Linked DNA regions of Nothobranchius furzeri. The protein of the gene in region 2 interacts with the protein of the main gene of each other region in a pairwise test. Links are inferred from orthologs where the notes say so. Each region holds a gene or a part of one and is shown on either strand. Other genes may lie near its edges.

Evidence for each region.
Region 1: the proteins of gps2 (region 2) and tfip11 interact in binary tests that used the Homo sapiens proteins (3 or more experiments, as listed by UniProt). The two-hybrid records come from large-scale screens. The link is inferred for Nothobranchius furzeri from reciprocal best matches to the Homo sapiens genes GPS2 and TFIP11.
Region 3: the proteins of gps2 (region 2) and ralbp1 interact in binary tests that used the Homo sapiens proteins (3 or more experiments, as listed by UniProt). The two-hybrid records come from large-scale screens. The link is inferred for Nothobranchius furzeri from reciprocal best matches to the Homo sapiens genes GPS2 and RALBP1.
Region 4: the proteins of gps2 (region 2) and sestd1 interact in binary tests that used the Homo sapiens proteins (3 or more experiments, as listed by UniProt). The two-hybrid records come from large-scale screens. The link is inferred for Nothobranchius furzeri from reciprocal best matches to the Homo sapiens genes GPS2 and SESTD1.

The regions. Positions count from the first base shown.
Region 1 is NC_091757.1:45,000,280-45,004,470, forward strand, and holds the start of tfip11 (tuftelin-interacting protein 11), read right to left. Parts: upstream 2,801-4,191; 5' UTR 2,691-2,800; exon of another isoform or gene 2,673-2,690; intron 2,253-2,672; 5' UTR 2,251-2,252; coding exon 2,045-2,250; intron 1,956-2,044; coding exon 1,790-1,955; intron 1,700-1,789; coding exon 1,543-1,699; intron 1,435-1,542; coding exon 1,307-1,434; intron 1,191-1,306; coding exon 1,029-1,190; intron 870-1,028; coding exon 678-869; intron 539-677; coding exon 359-538; intron 249-358; coding exon 114-248; intron 28-113; coding exon 1-27. Other genes in the region: srrd (SRR1-like protein), read left to right, coding at 3,091-3,302, 3,533-3,573, 3,640-3,821, 3,909-4,007. UniProt on the Homo sapiens protein: Involved in pre-mRNA splicing, specifically in spliceosome disassembly during late-stage splicing events. Intron turnover seems to proceed through reactions in two lariat-intron associated complexes termed Intron Large (IL) and Intron Small (IS).
Region 2 is NC_091742.1:53,242,099-53,245,312, reverse strand, and holds the end of gps2 (G protein pathway suppressor 2), read right to left. Parts: intron 1,729-3,214; coding exon 1,639-1,728; intron 1,090-1,638; coding exon 997-1,089; 3' UTR 574-996; downstream 1-573. UniProt on the Homo sapiens protein: Key regulator of inflammation, lipid metabolism and mitochondrion homeostasis that acts by inhibiting the activity of the ubiquitin-conjugating enzyme UBE2N/Ubc13, thereby inhibiting 'Lys-63'-linked ubiquitination.
Region 3 is NC_091751.1:42,841,488-42,845,074, reverse strand, and holds part of ralbp1 (ralA-binding protein 1), read right to left. Parts: intron 1,018-3,587; coding exon 586-1,017; intron 506-585; coding exon 156-505; intron 1-155. UniProt on the Homo sapiens protein: Multifunctional protein that functions as a downstream effector of RALA and RALB. As a GTPase-activating protein/GAP can inactivate CDC42 and RAC1 by stimulating their GTPase activity.
Region 4 is NC_091754.1:30,155,500-30,159,836, forward strand, and holds the start of sestd1 (SEC14 domain and spectrin repeat-containing protein 1), read left to right. Parts: upstream 1-1,471; 5' UTR 1,472-1,695; intron 1,696-2,453; coding exon 2,454-2,523; intron 2,524-2,606; coding exon 2,607-2,715; intron 2,716-4,337. UniProt on the Homo sapiens protein: May act as the primary docking protein directing membrane turnover and assembly of the transient receptor potential channels TRPC4 and TRPC5.

The DNA.
Region 1 (4,191 bases), on a different chromosome or scaffold from region 2:
GATATCCTCCAGACAATAAGAACTGTCCTGAAAAGATCAGAAAGCGTTCAAGAATTAGCTTGGATATTAATCATTTACTAAAAATGTGGTTTCCTCTAACTGTAAAAGACTACCTTCACAGGGTCCCAGGAGGAGAGTTTCTCTTTAAGCAATGGATGAATGACAGCCACAGCCAAATCTGCCAATCCCATCATCTTGTATTCCTCATAATAATCGGTTTGTAATGTCTCAAAGATCTGGGCACACTCCTGAAGAGACAAGCACTACAAATCAGCTTCACAATTATGAAATATAAAGCTGGAACTCCTTAATTTGAACAGCTTGCAGACCGGCTCCAGTCAGTGTTTGTAACACAAACCTGTAGGGTCGGGCCCTCTCCCGGTGCCGTCTCTTCAGAAGGAAAACGCTCCACTAATGCTAAGACAGCTTCCATTCTTCGGATGGATTCTTGCTCTGACTCCAGTCTGCTCTGCAAAGCTTTTGACTCATGGCTCAGAGAAACAACCACGTCTTTTTCATGCTGCAAACGTCTGGCAGACTACAAAAGATGCACAAAAAAAAGAAAGAACGCTTTAGTAGAGATTACAAGTTCTTCACATTTTTCTCAGGTTGCTGACTTATTAATATCCTATTCTTGTAGCTAAATATGTTGTAAATAATTCTTGGTTTCCTCTTACCTGTAATATGTTTTGTTCTGTCAGGTCTATCAGAAGCTGCAGATTATGCTCAAGTTCGGGGAGAGCAAAGCCAGATACCTTTTGATCCTGTGAAGCCAAGCTTGGTGGAGCTTCATCGGGAACACTGTGTTTGTGAGACATCTGACTATAACTGTAGTATACCTTCTGCTCTCTTCCAGTCATATCTATTACCTAGACCAAGGGAAATGTCAGGATAAATAAGTACTATGAATGTAGCCAAAATGTACTTAAATTACTGATGCTTAATAAAACACTGAATCCTCAATTTTGCACCTATGCAGCCATGCCAACATAAAAAACAAACAGCACACAAGTGAAACATAAACATACCTTGACCTGTGCCAGCTCTCCTGCAGTTGCAGATGTGCTCCGACTCACTATTTTACCTTTAGCCTTCAACTCATCTGCTGTTCTGTAAGAGTACTTGGGCTTCTTTTTTCCTGCAGGCCCAGCTGGATCCTTACGCCACTGGCCAAGTTCCTTCTGAAATTCCTATATAAAGATATAGAAAATTACCACAATGACTCTATAGACTCATTTGATCAATAAAATCAAACACAAAAATAAAAACAACATTGTAAAGACAATTTTTTTTCTCAGTACTTTACCTTCTCCTCTTCTTCCTCTGAGTCAACTACAGGAAAGTCCTGAAGACTCTGCTGGGTTCTTTCATTGCCATAAGCACCAACCGCTCCTTTTCCCTTACGGATCTTTGCCTCAATGGGGTTTATGATACCTACAGAGAGAAAGTACATTACAAGTGTTTCAATTCCACCACATCCATGTAAAAAACAAAACATTTTACAACATTTTTAAAAGAACAATCTAAGTCAACTAAACACACCTTGAGCATTCTTCCCCAAGCCTTTCCCTGGCTGGTAACCCATCTTCTGCAGAAGTTTCTGTCCAATTCCTTTGGTGTGTTTCTCCCAGTTACCAATTCCTTGTCCAGACTGTATTCCACCTGCAAACCTCTTAGACTGATTTCCACAGAAATTACCCTAGAAAAACATTTTTTCCCAACATCATTATTTTCACTATTTTCTTCTACAAACAATGGACATCACAATGTGCGCACATTTAAAAATTACCATCTGGAGTTTTTTGGGTGCAGTCACGCGTGAAGGGGGGAGTTTTGCAGAAGTATCATCATCAGAGTCGTCAGAGCTGCCTTCTTTTTCCCGCTCTTTCTCTTCAGCAGCACTCTTACGCAAACCACCACTCACAAAGCTCACAGGTACAGTGTAGTCTTTGGATCTAAAAAGAAATCATAAATATTTTATTAGAACATTTGGTTAGAAATTGTTTCAGAATTGGAATTTGTGTCAAAAGCAAGCCATTTATACTTCTTGCCACCAAAGCTGGGCCTTTCATCTTCATCAGAATCCTTCTCGGCCCAGATGCCATATGTGGCCTGCTCCTTGCTCTGCCTGAATTTGCGACGGTCTGGGTTGAACTCATTGGCTAAATCCCAGTCAGTAATCTCAAAACTCTCCACCTCCACACCTTCCTCTTCCTCCTCCCTCCGCCCGTAAAGGTGGGACATTGACATCTCTGCAAGTTATAAACAATATAGATCTTAATGAAATGTGACCGAATCCTAAAATTACACGTGCATTTATTTTCCAGGAAAGAAACATTGTGACTTCAAAATCAGGAAAAAGATGCATATCTAGTTTATTAAAGGCAAAGAAGAGGGAAATAAAATGCGATAACTAAGTCAGGTATGAAGTCAACGTTTGTGGTTTAACTAACGATAAATTAATAATGACAAAAAGGTTTACAATCAATAACGATGAATACACAAATAAGACTAAACGTGAAACATCGATTATAAAACTATACAAATCTGCTTAGAAGAAAACGGAGCGAAGGCTAATTACTAGCAATAACGCACGTTCTGTAGCATTAATGTAAATACACACAACATGTTAGTAGTGATAAAAAACGACGATTTCGTTTAAGTTAACTTACTAAAATATTAATTACAACCTTGGTCTGAGATCAAAAACACATATCTTATGTGGTAATAAGACGAACTGCAGAGACACGAACTGTTGACGAATGATATATTTTTGTCAAAAGCAAGTTCTTCCGGTTTAGCCGTGTCACTTCAATTAATGTACACTACAAATAATTTCATTAATATTTTAAAAGCAGCTTAATTAAAACCAACCATTCAACACATACATTTTTATAAAGCGGTCAATATTTTTTTTAAAAATAAAAACAATCGAACAACAGCAAATCTGTTGAATTTACGTGACTTTTAACTAGACGGAAATCACACCGGAAACAGAACAATGTGTTGCACTTGAATAGGTCATCTGCGTTTCCATTTTTAGCTTTCAGCTCTCAAAATGCTAAATTTGGTTTTGAGTTCCATGTTTTTATGATACTTACGTTTGGAAATGTATGTACTTATGTAAATTACATCTGGCAATTCACACAAATGTCGTACATATCCGATGAATGGCAGGTAGCTCGGCGTCGAAAAGGTGTATGTAGGCAATTTAAATCTCATCAAGTTCCTCTAAACTCACCATCATGCCATCAGGAGCAACTGGATGTTGGAAAACTCATCAGAAGAATCAGAGACAACATGTAAGAAGTTACGCACACACACATGTATGTATGTATGTATGTATGTATATATATATATATATATATATATATATATATATATATATATATATACATATATATATATATATATATATATATATATATATATATATATATATATATATGAGTAACAATATTTATCTTGCATAATAGGTGAAATCATACATCTTCCCATAAGTTATTGGTTTGCTTATATCTTTCCTTCTTAGGTTTGAACTAAAGTACGAAGATTTTTGGAAAGACTGGAATGGTGAGTTTGTTGTAGATATGTAGGTTGAGTTAAGCTTAGTTATTTAGTGGATCATCTTCTCTTCAGAGAATTTCCAGGCAGCAGCAGCATCCCTAAAACCTCCAGGGGACAGTGACACTGAAAATCAGCTGGAAAAAGCCCCAGAAGAAACACTGATGTGTGTTTGTTATGGTCTTGGGTCTTTTTCTTCATGTGTAGCCGCTCGCTACCAACTTGCCATGTTGCTGCTTCTTCTGGATGCGAGACAGGTGAGAAGATCGACTCCATCTGTGTTATAAATGATACTTGTGAAACTCTGATGCAAAATATGTGCTTTATTGCCCCTGTCCATGTAGATTTTACTGCGGGACTGCTATGTTTATGATCCTGCCTTCTCCTTTGCTGAAAAGAATGTCTTAAGAGAGCTGGGTTTGACTGTACTCACAGAAAATGAGGTCAGTTGACAAGAGCTTGAGTATTTTTGAAATAAATAACAGTAAAACACTGTTTTCAGGTATACACTATGAAGTAGATTATACAGATATAATGTTACCATAAATACCATTGTTACAAATAAACAACTGTTACAACTCCAGCCATTTCATTTTGCTATCTGTTTGATTTCACTGGTTATTCACT
Region 2 (3,214 bases):
CGCCTATAAATACGTTTATGGTTCCTGACTCCGCCTCCCCTTTTCTCTCTTTCTTCCTTGCAACTGTTTCAGGGGCAATCAAGACCAATGGAAACGAAGGGAGCTAATGACTCGTCTGCGTTTTTTTTTCATTCTCTCCAGTTTTCTGACCCTCCTGTGGGCTCGGTCACAGTTCACGTCCCGACTACGTGATCATAAACCAGAACAGGTGTGCATATTTAAAATAGATGATCACCTTTAGAAAGAAGAGGGACAGTGTTTTCTTTTTATTGATCCCTGATTTATGAAGGGCTTCATCTCCAGTGGAGGTCTGTTCAGCAGGCGGATTCGTATTTCTGCACAACACCTGGTCTGAAGCAGCTCCATCACCTGGCGCCTATGCGGAACAACGCAACCTTCCTTTTGTTTTGTGTCCAAAAACAACTCCTGGGAAGCTCTTTGCAGAAACTTTGGGAAGAAATGACTCCAACCTGGAACAGATTTGTTTTCAGAGCAGCAGTTTACTTAACCAGGCCCGACTTTGCAGGACGTCTCTGTGGGCAAACAATAAAAAGGAAAGAATGGCAAAAACAGTTGAAAAGTGATTTGTTTATTTAGCAACATTTAAGTGAATAATTCCAAATAACCCAACTTTATTTATGCTACAGCTGGTTTTCCTCCAAATCGTGTTACAAAAGGTCATCCGAGGACAGACAAAAACTTGGGACAAAGTGTTTAAGCTTAACTAGTTAATGTGTGCGGGACCAGTCTCATTGGTCTAATTCCAATCATTTATGGAGAAACTAAAAATTCTGGGTCTGTAATACAGTTATTTTACAAATTTACTATTTAAAAGTGTAGTGAGAACAAAAAAGACAAGTGCGAGTTTGAGGACTTTAAACCAGAAGCGATGAAAGCTACTGTACAAACTTTACATCAAAAAGGTTTAAAACATCAAGACCAGGTCCGACGGCGTCTCCAGAGTGTCCGGGAAGCGGATGCTGAGGGCGCTGTGGGCTACTTGCCATGGTGGTAAAACCTCTGCCCGCTCTGGCTGTGGGACAGGAAGCTGTGACGAGGAGTGCCCTGCGGAGAGCTCTGGAAGGGGGCCTGGTCATAAACACAAAACAAAACCGCCTAAAAAAAGGGCGATGTTTCATTTATAAACATGTCAGCAACAGAAAACTGACGCGTGACCTCCATAAACCTTTACCACGTACGTTTTCCAACACAGCCTTGTTTTGGTAACATCAGGACATCCCTGCTGTTACTTATGCTCTTGCGGAAACAGATTTCCATCTAAATGACTAAGTGGGAGGATTAAACATTACATGAAATATTGGTTTTAAGACTTTCGCTGTTAGCTTAACGGTCCTGTCCGGTGTGACCTTCATTTCTCTGAACTGAGGCTGTTCAGGGAGATATTTACAACAAGAATGAGAGGTGGTGAATCACTATCAAAACCTGAGCCACATGTTTACAACAGAAACAAAGTCCTGTGTAAACACTACTAATGGGCTGTCCGCATCACCGTTAACCCAGCACTAGCCAGCTGAGAGGTGACACAGCGGGGCAGATTGTTGCTGATTTTTACATCACTGATTATAAGAAGCATAAAACAGGTGGTGGAAAGCGTGTGTTTATATTTGTATGGTTCACCTTAGCAGTAGGGATCTGGACCATAGGTGCAGGCAGCAGACCTTGGGCTGAGGGATGCATGGCTGAGGGGTGCATGGGCCTCAAACCGCCCTGAAACATCAACAAGACACAGAACCAAAACACTAAACAGCAAACTCAAGTGCAGGTTGGAGAAGCTGCTGTAGTGCGGCGTTCTTGTTTGAAGGGGATGTACTGTGACTTCTGTCTTAAGGTGTAATAGTCTATGGTCTGCACTAAATCCCTCCCACATAAAGATCTTTCAGCTGTTTTATTCTTGATGGTTTCAGTTCCTTCCTAAATGAGCCGTTTCAGGGCTCTGTCACTTTAAGAAAACAAGCTAGTGGGCCACGACCACCCACCCCCTGATGAGCTACGGTTAGGTGGGAGGCTCCGACATCCATGGGAGGCTTGTAATAGAGCCACTGATCCCCCCGCAGCACCTCTCTCTTGCACCTGAGAAGTGGCTCTATTCTGGTTTTCCTGTTGTGACATCACAAATGTGAACTTTTGGAAACAGCTCATTTTAGGCACATAATTCCTAAAACCAAACACTGAAAGAAAACGGATGGAGGTTTTATTTTTCACATTTGGGGTGTTTTTAGGGCAACAGCAGTAGCTCAGGAGGTAGAGCGGGGTTGTCGAGTAATTGTAGGTTTGCAGGATCGATGCCCCCCCCCCCCCCGCAGAGAATTTAGCTGCTGTTTCCTTGAGCAAGACACGTCACCTAAAGCCAGGCGGACACTGTGCGACTTTTTCACTCGTAGCACTCAGCTTCAGCTCTAACTGTACGACTTCCTCGCAGGGCAGATCTCACGAGTCATGCGCTCACACTGCACGACCCAGTTCTCGGATACGACCTGACTGCTCACACTGTACGTCTGGTAGCAACAGGTCGGCCCAAAAATATGCTAAAAATAGCAGTTTTTACACAACACGTCAGACTTTTTTGTCTTGTTTTGCCTGTTGTCCTTCAGGAGTGCTGCAGGAGGACGCACAGGGATTTATGGGGGTTGGATGAGGAAAACGAAATAAAGAAAGTAAATCTGTGTTTTGTGATCAGTTTAATTTGACATGAACACGACAAACACGCTTTCTTGACAATCTTTGTGTGTAAAAAACGTGTAGAAATTAAAACGGACAACGTGTGTTATTAGGGAAATAGCGAGCGAACGGTGTTGATGCAGGATTGCGCATGCGCCGTGAGCGGTTCTGATACATTTTGGGTTGCAGCTGCTCGCAGCGCCGCTTCAACAGTGCGATACCCTCACGAGGGACGAGCAAAATATTAAACACGCCAGAAGTCCGTGCGAGCTCACGACTGCTGATCGGTAGCTGGTCACGTGGTGTTAATCGCCTCTCGTAACCCCCTGTACACTACACGACGCTCGGCGCAAAACTCGCCCCGATCTCGTGGATTCTCGCACGACTGGAAAATCGGCTCAAAAAATTGAAAAAGTCGCACAGTGTACGCCCGGCTTAACTTGTCTTTGTTGGTGGTGGTCAGAGGGGTCGATCACGCAAAAAGGCAGCCTGGTCTCTGTCAGACTGCCCCAGGGCAGCTGTGGCTACATAGTAG
Region 3 (3,587 bases), on a different chromosome or scaffold from region 2:
CCGCCGAACTGGGCAATGGTGTCAGAGATGAACTGAACTCGTAAAATTAGTTGGTTTGTTGCTAAGGAGAAGGTCTGAGTTAAAGTCGCTTTATCTTCTTTAAGCCGTACTTTGGCTGTAGCGTACTTTGTAGACACTAAACAGCCTCCTCTGACCTGTATGGTGGGGTTGAGGACGATGGAGATGTTCTGAATGTTCATCTTGGTGTCCGACTCCCGGGCGATGACATGGTCCATGTGTGTGACGAGCCAGGAGAGGAGAAGTCGGCTCTCAGGAGACACTTCAGTCAACAGCTTCTGAAACTCCGTCACTTTCTCGGCCTCCGTCTGCCGACCGCAGGCGTCCTCAAACCTCTGGGCCAGGTCTCGACCCAGCAGGTTCTCGGGCAGCTCTCTGAGGTACTGCTTCAGCAGACTGGCGACGGTGTGGGGGTCGTACTCCTCCAGGCAGGGGCACTCCTCACGGTCGTAGGCGGCTTTCAGTTCATCCACCTTAGACTTCATACCTGGCCGGGAAACAAATGAATGAAGTACTCAGAGAGGAGTGTTATGATTTCTTCTGAAGGAAAACAAAGGTGTTCGATACCTGAGACCCGGTAGATACCCTCACACTTCATGCCATAGTTTTCTATGTAGTCCACACATTCTCTGAAGATGGAGGGCAGCTGGATGCCGTCGTACAGAGCCGTCCTCTTCAACGCTTCACCCAGCGGGGCTCCAAAGATGGGCCTGATGGTGGGGGTCTCCACTGGGACTGGCTCTGACTCTGCAACAGGCTTCTTCTTCTTCTTCTTCTCCTTCCATTGTTTGACCACATCTGCTGCCGTCAGGTCCTTGGACTTTTTATCTTTGGCCTTTTCCTCTTTGGGGCCCTTCTCCTTCACCTTAAAGTCCTTCTCTTTCTTCTTGGAGAAGCTCGGCTTCTTGAACACGTGGATTCCCTTGGAGCGCTTCATTTTGGAGGGGCTCTCCGCCTCATCTGCCGAACTGTCCTCCTGGAAGGCGGCGTATCCCTCAGCTGTGGACGTAAACAGTGAAAAAAAGAGGCAGAAACGAGGTTAAATCTGAAGGGAGGGTGCCCTTATCTCCCTCCTACAACAGAACTACGATAGAGGCGAAATAGAAACAGGAAGAGAGATGTGTGAGAGAGAAAAGAGAGCAGAGGGAGAGAACGGGGACTTGGAAAAGAGGTCACCTCTGATTGAGCACAGCTCCCCCAACACCTTCCAGCTGGCTTCTCCTAAAGACGATCATCTCTAATATCTAACGAGTGACCTCTTCTCAGTTTTACTAGTATTATTATATCGGTCCTGTTTGTCAGTGTCACTGGGATCAGTGGGCGTTGGCCTAAAACTGACCATCACTTCCTTTCACTCGCAGGACACGAGTGCAGGAGCTAAAAGCAGACATGGAAAAACTAATACAGAGAAAGACACTGACCGCACTACCAGCAAGGAGAGGAAGGACGAACCTAAACAGCTGAAAAACTCTCGCTGGTTTGTTTTAAACGCTGCTTCATGACTCGTGCTGTGCAAAAGATTTAAACCACTCTTAATTCCTCAGCAGTAGCTCAGGAGGTAGAGCGGGTTGTCTAATAATCGGAAGGTTGTAGGACTGATTCCATGCCCTGGCAGACAATTCTTCTGTTGTGTCCTTGAGCAAGACACTTAACCCACCCCGTCTGCTGCTGATGGTGGTTGTAGAAATGTGTGAACTGCATCTTCATTCTGTACAGCTATCCTTCAGCTAACAGCTACCATCTTGCTGGTTCTAAAACACATTTTTTATACTTTAGACTTTTCTTTGTTATATTTGGACATTCAATTAAATTAATTAAAACAAACCATATTTTTAATTTTAACCTAAAGCTAACATTTTTATGATATGCTCAGGTATGTGTACACACAGGTTCATCCATTTTAGTCACCTATTTACTATGAAGTTATTCTTAAATCAGTATAACCCGGCTTTTAAAAAATCTTAATTGTTCATACTCAAGGACTGAACCAATGCACTTGCAGAACATATGAACACATAAGATATATGGACTGTTTTATCTGACGCCGCCATCTAGAGGCTGAAACATGTATTGCACCTTAAGCCATTCTCCCCACCTCCATATTTATGGCCACACCTCTAGCTGGCAAACAGGGCTGAAACACACCGTCTTGTATATTTTCCCAAGTTGTGCTAATTCATGTCCATGAGAAATGCCCCCAACTCTGCTCTTTGACTGACATCTGTACATAGGCGGATATCACTACTGGCTGATGCTGAGCGGCACACTTTTCAAACTGCATGAGGCTCTACAGGACGAGGATGGGCTTTGCAAAAAATAAATAAATAAAAAGATGCATTGCCTACATTATATCACAAAACAGGCAGGACATTTCTAGAAAATCATCCATAATTCTGAGGGAGAACTCCGGATTGTCACAATATGTGCTGGTATGCTTTCAAATTCCAGTCTAAATATTTGTAGTTTGAAAATCTTTCTTAATTAGTGGTATCAGTAACTTCTACAAACACTTCATCTATTGAAATTCCATAAAAAATATCTTCCAATTTATTTAGGTCTCATTTTGCATTTGGAATAAAACCTTTGAAGTCATTTTTCCATGTTTAGTGGGACTGAACGATTTTAGGAAAAGATTGAATTGCAATTTTTCTTGCAGAAATTGCGATTTCGGTTCAATTCACGATTTTCTGCAAACAAAGGTCCAACACTAGCCTGCCAAGCCATCCTATAGATTAAGTGAAAAGATGGTCTAGATTCTAATCTAGTACAACAAATCATTCACATTAATATTTACTATTTAGTCATACAATAAAAACAGTTAAAGCTATTCATATTTTCTCCCATAATTATATTTATTTAAATTTTTAATGTGTTTGTGAAGCAACATGTGCTTGTGATTTTTATCTAGAGAGGAGGTTTATAAAAACATGTTCTACTCCAAAAATGCATGGAGGAAATCTGTAGATAGAAATAGCTTTTAAATGTATTAAATAAAAAAAATGCACACAGTTTTCCCTGCATTTCCAAGGCAGGCCGGCTGCACGTTTTTCGAAGCCGTCTTGATAGTTTTTCCTCACTAAAACGTCAGTTCCGTGAGAGAGACGAACACATTCTGACACCTTAGCTTGTTTGAACCAACATATGCCATCAGAAACATTCAAACCATTTTAAATGAGAAGTTTAGCTTTCAAGTCAACTAAAGTGCGCGACTCTGCAGTCACGCTGATGAAGCATAAACCAGCTTTAGAAACCAGCCTGAACCTGCTCCGATGTGGGAGGAGTCTCTCCCCTCCCCTGCTCTGGCTTATGCCACCGCCATAACACAGGGAGAAAACCCCGGATGTAAAAAAATAAAAATAAAAAAAGTTACACAACTGATCCTGGATCAGTCAAAACCGCTAAAACCGCAGCTTTGACAGTCACGACCGTACTGTTTGAAATCGCAATTTCGATCCACAAACGATAGATCGTTCAGCCCTAATGATTAGTGACAAATACCAGCATACCTTTGGAGTAAAACAGCTTCAGGTCATTCCCCATAACTAAAGCAGGTTTGATTTAACAGAAGA
Region 4 (4,337 bases), on a different chromosome or scaffold from region 2:
GCTGAGGTGTGCTAATGGATTATATGCAATTATCTTAATGACTGAAGTCAGTTCTGTCTGTTAGCAAAATATCTCATGAACTTTTGAAAGTCTTTCATAAAATAATCATTAGACATACATGAACAATTTTGGACAAGCTAATGAAAGCTGTTGGATAATATGCATATAGGAAGGCATTTAATTTTAGGAATGCTATGTAAATCACATGTCTCCTTCCAGATCATTGCTATCAGATCTTTAGAACCATTGTATCTATGAGGCTAATATATATATATATATATATATATATATATATATATATATATATATATATATATATATATATAGTCATTTTGGCTCCACAGAGTTGCTGATCCTCCTTATGGAATTTCTAACTTTTGGTTTTGACAGGAAAAAAACAGGCATGAGGTTCAACTCAGCACAGGAAATAAAATAGGGTTCAAGGTAGGTTCTAGGAGTTGAGCTATTTTGCCCATTTTATCCCAATATTTGTAGTTGACAACTTATTCCATTTCAGTTCTGCTTGAGTTTGAACTACTGAAGCCCATTTTAATAAATTGTATTTTATTTGATATTTTCCAAATAGTTGTATACTTGTTTGTAGGCTATCATTGTCCACTTTAGGGACTCATAACACTTCATGGATTGCAGCAGCAGTTCAGTCTTTTCTTACAGCTGGAATGGGACTGACGAGAGAAAAGGAGCTTTAAAATGAGTGAGGGCTTGTTTCTGTTTAAATGCTACACAAATGAAGTAAAAGGTGGAAATATATATATGTGAGTGTGAAAGTTTTTATTGCAAATGATGTAACAAGAACAATGTGGAAAAACATGTTCATTTCAATTTGAATTCACAGCCACATAACAAGAATATGTATTCATATGTTTTTGTGTAATCAATTAAAATCAAAGTGTCTAAATGTGCTTTTTCACATTTTAAGAAATTATGCATTTGTACACAACAACACATTTAAATATTGTTTTTAATTTGTTCCACAGATGTGACTTTATTTGTAATAAAATTGATTTCGTAGACCATCGTGTTCATTCTCTTGTTTGGTCCGGAGGTTTTCTTATTTCTGAGGGACATTAAACACCTCAGTCGTCTGAAAGGGAGAGTGGTCAGACCTTACTCGGTCAGTTTGGTTGAGGCCCTGCCCCGGAAACACAGATTAAATTTCACAGAGAAGATGCAGATCCGTGTTTTTCAAAACAAAGTCAAGAAAAACTCTTTATATTTTGAACAATTACATTTCCAACAATACAGGTTTTCAATAAGAAGTTCTAATAATTTCCCAACAGAAATATAGAATGAAAATATATACCTAACAAAAGAAAGCTCGGGTCTCCGTGTTTATTTTGGTTCTCTTGCTTGTTTTCCCCACAGACACAAACTTATTTTGAAAAATTTTGACAGGAAGTTGGAGTTGTTGATTTTACTTTACTGAGTCTGCGCAGTGCAGCAGCAGCAAGCCCTGCCCCTCCGCCTGGCTGCTGTGTTTTCACTGTTGTTACAGACGAGCGAAGAATAAAACAGAGAGATAAGGTCATTTAATGGAAAACTGATTCAGTCTCCTCCGAAAACTCGGCCTCTGAGGAGTGAAGAGGAGAAGGAGATACGGAAGAGAACAGGAGGAGGAAGACTGGATGGAGGAAATAGGGTCTGACTGAAAATGCTCCGGATCTGACTGAAAAGGTAAGGAAATCCGCCGGATCCATACTTATTGTTAGTACAGCCTAAAGTTGTCGCTGCTGTGATGAAGCACGCCTCGGTGAGGGAGGTTCCAGCCGCAGCCTCCGCAGTCTGCAGCTCTGAATGTAGGTCATTGTGTCTTTAGGTCTTTTCAGCCGAACCGAGCCTTGCCCTGCTGGGCCGAGCCCTCCTGCAGTGAGGCTGCAGAAAAGGATGCAGCAGCAGAAACTGCAGTAACTAGATCAGGTCTGCCAGTTGTAAATGATGGAAGATTACAGGCATGGATGAGCAAATTTGGGTCGCTTGAAAATAAATTAGGGCCAAACAATCTAAAATTACCGATGTTTTCATGTAAGTAGCTGAAATAAGAGGTCCAACTAGGGTTAGGGTTAGTAAGTAGCTGAAATAAGGTCCGACTATAAACTTTATAACTACCAGGATGATCTCTCAGGTTAAAGTATTTAATCTGATCTAATCTAAACCAGGTTTAATCACTGAATGATTACAGATGGAGTTAACTGAACACAAAACTTGGACCACTCAGTCAAACAGCAGAAATGTGAACCAGGCTGAGCCGAAGCCAGCAGCTGGAATCTGCTGGGAGAAATGCCATCTGAGAGAAAATCCGCATGGAAAAGCCACTAAACCTGGTGTTCCTGCAGCACTTCAGCTGGAACCAATCAGCAGCCTCATCAGCCGCTGCTTTTCTTTCCGAGGTTACGCGTTTTGATGTTAATGTTTTTGTTGTCATGCTTTTGCAGATGTCCAGTGTTACAATGGAAGCAAATTCCATTCTTCCCATCCTCAAAAAGAAGCTGGCCTTCCTCTCAGGTGTGGGATTGTGCTTCCTTCAGCGTGACGACTTTAATATTAGTAATGTGATGTCTCTAACTGCCTACTCGTCTCTTTTTTAGGGGGCAAAGACCGCCGCAGTGGTCTGATTCTGACCATCCCCCTCAACTCAGATCAGACCAGCATGGAAGAGCTCAGCGCCACACTGGATTACTTGCTTAGCATTCCCAGGTACACACACTCATGGAAACTGTCTGTTGTGGGAAGATTTGTTTCCCCTTTTATCCCTTTGGACAAGTTTGGATCTGATGGGGGTCAAACATGTTGAGACATCCTATGTGAAGTATTTCCACACGTTCTTTAGTCCAGGAATGTTCTCGAGGTGTTCAGATTGCATGCATGGATTCCCTCCCTCATGTTTGGAGCTGTAGGAGGAACTCACCAGCAGAGTGTGAGCAGCCACGTATGAAAGAGTCCAGCTTAAACTTTCGCTAAACTCTGTTAAACTTTTCTGGTACTCCTTTGCAAATCAAACAGCAATTTTGCCGTTGTCCCCACATTTAAACAAGGTCTTGTTTGTGCATTAACAGGAAACTCATTAATACTGATATACATGACTTCTATAGATGTGTGTGGTTCTATATCAGTGGTTCTAAATAGGCGGACCCGGCCCGCGAACCGCCACTTTCTGCTGCCTTATTAAAATGAGGGGAGGCATGTCAGTCCAAACACATCCACGTCACTTCTCCTCCAGCTTCACTGGCTGCCAGTCTACTTCAGGGTTCATTTCAAGATCCTGGTTCTGGTATATAGGGCCTTACATGGACAAGCACCATCTTACATAGGTGATCTTCTCAGTCCCTACACCCCCAGCAGGTCCCTGAGGTCCAGTGATCAAAGCCTACTGGTTGTGCAGCACCAGGCTAAAGACCAAAGGTGACAGAGCATTTGCTGCTGTGGCCCCCAGACTCTGGAACTCTCTCCCCCTGAGCCTGAGATCAGTGGACTCAGTGGTGATAGGTAATTTTTCATTTATCCCAAATTACCTTAAAGGACGACTCGGAGAGAGAGAGAAGATTATTATTATTCGTAATGTCCATGAATCGTCATGCGAGAGCTGGGCGGAAACCCATCCATGGAGCTAACCAGCCCCCCTCTGTTCCTGGGGAAAGCCTTCAGCTCACCAGCTCTGCATGCCCGCATTCTCCACCAAAATGTTAGGTAATTACATGTGGGGTAATAACCCTGGAACCTGAAATAACACACATGACAACAAGGGAGACATTTTACCCTGAGTCCCCAAAATAATGGAGAGTTAACGCAGAGGAACCTCCTCCGAGGCTGTCCCCACGTCACTCCCATGTGCTTCCAGTTCGTCAGGGGCTTTTTTCACAAAGGATGGAGGAGAAGGCAGGGCCTTCTCAGGTTACAGAGGAACAGTTTTCAGTTGGAAACCCACAATCAACATCCTTGCTCAACCTTTCATGAACAGCCACAGTTGGCAAACACAGAGATTCATGAAGTGTTAATAACACAAAATGGGCATCTTTTAGGCCTCAAAAAGGTACAATTATAAAAATACCCAACAAGTGGACTCCTTTAAAAAGCAGCTGAAGACTCACTTGTTCAAGCTGGTTTTTGTATGACCTTCTTCACCACTCTCTCTTTATTCTGCTCTCCCCACCTATTCCACCTTCCTCAGGATCCACTGATTTCGCTTTTTCATATTCACACTCTCTCTTTATTAACATTTTTTAATCACAATTGTCTATTTTTGCTCATTTTAGGCATATTTTTAATCATTTTCTAAAATCTTTTTTATATTTTACATTTTTTGTGAAACGCCTTGTGAT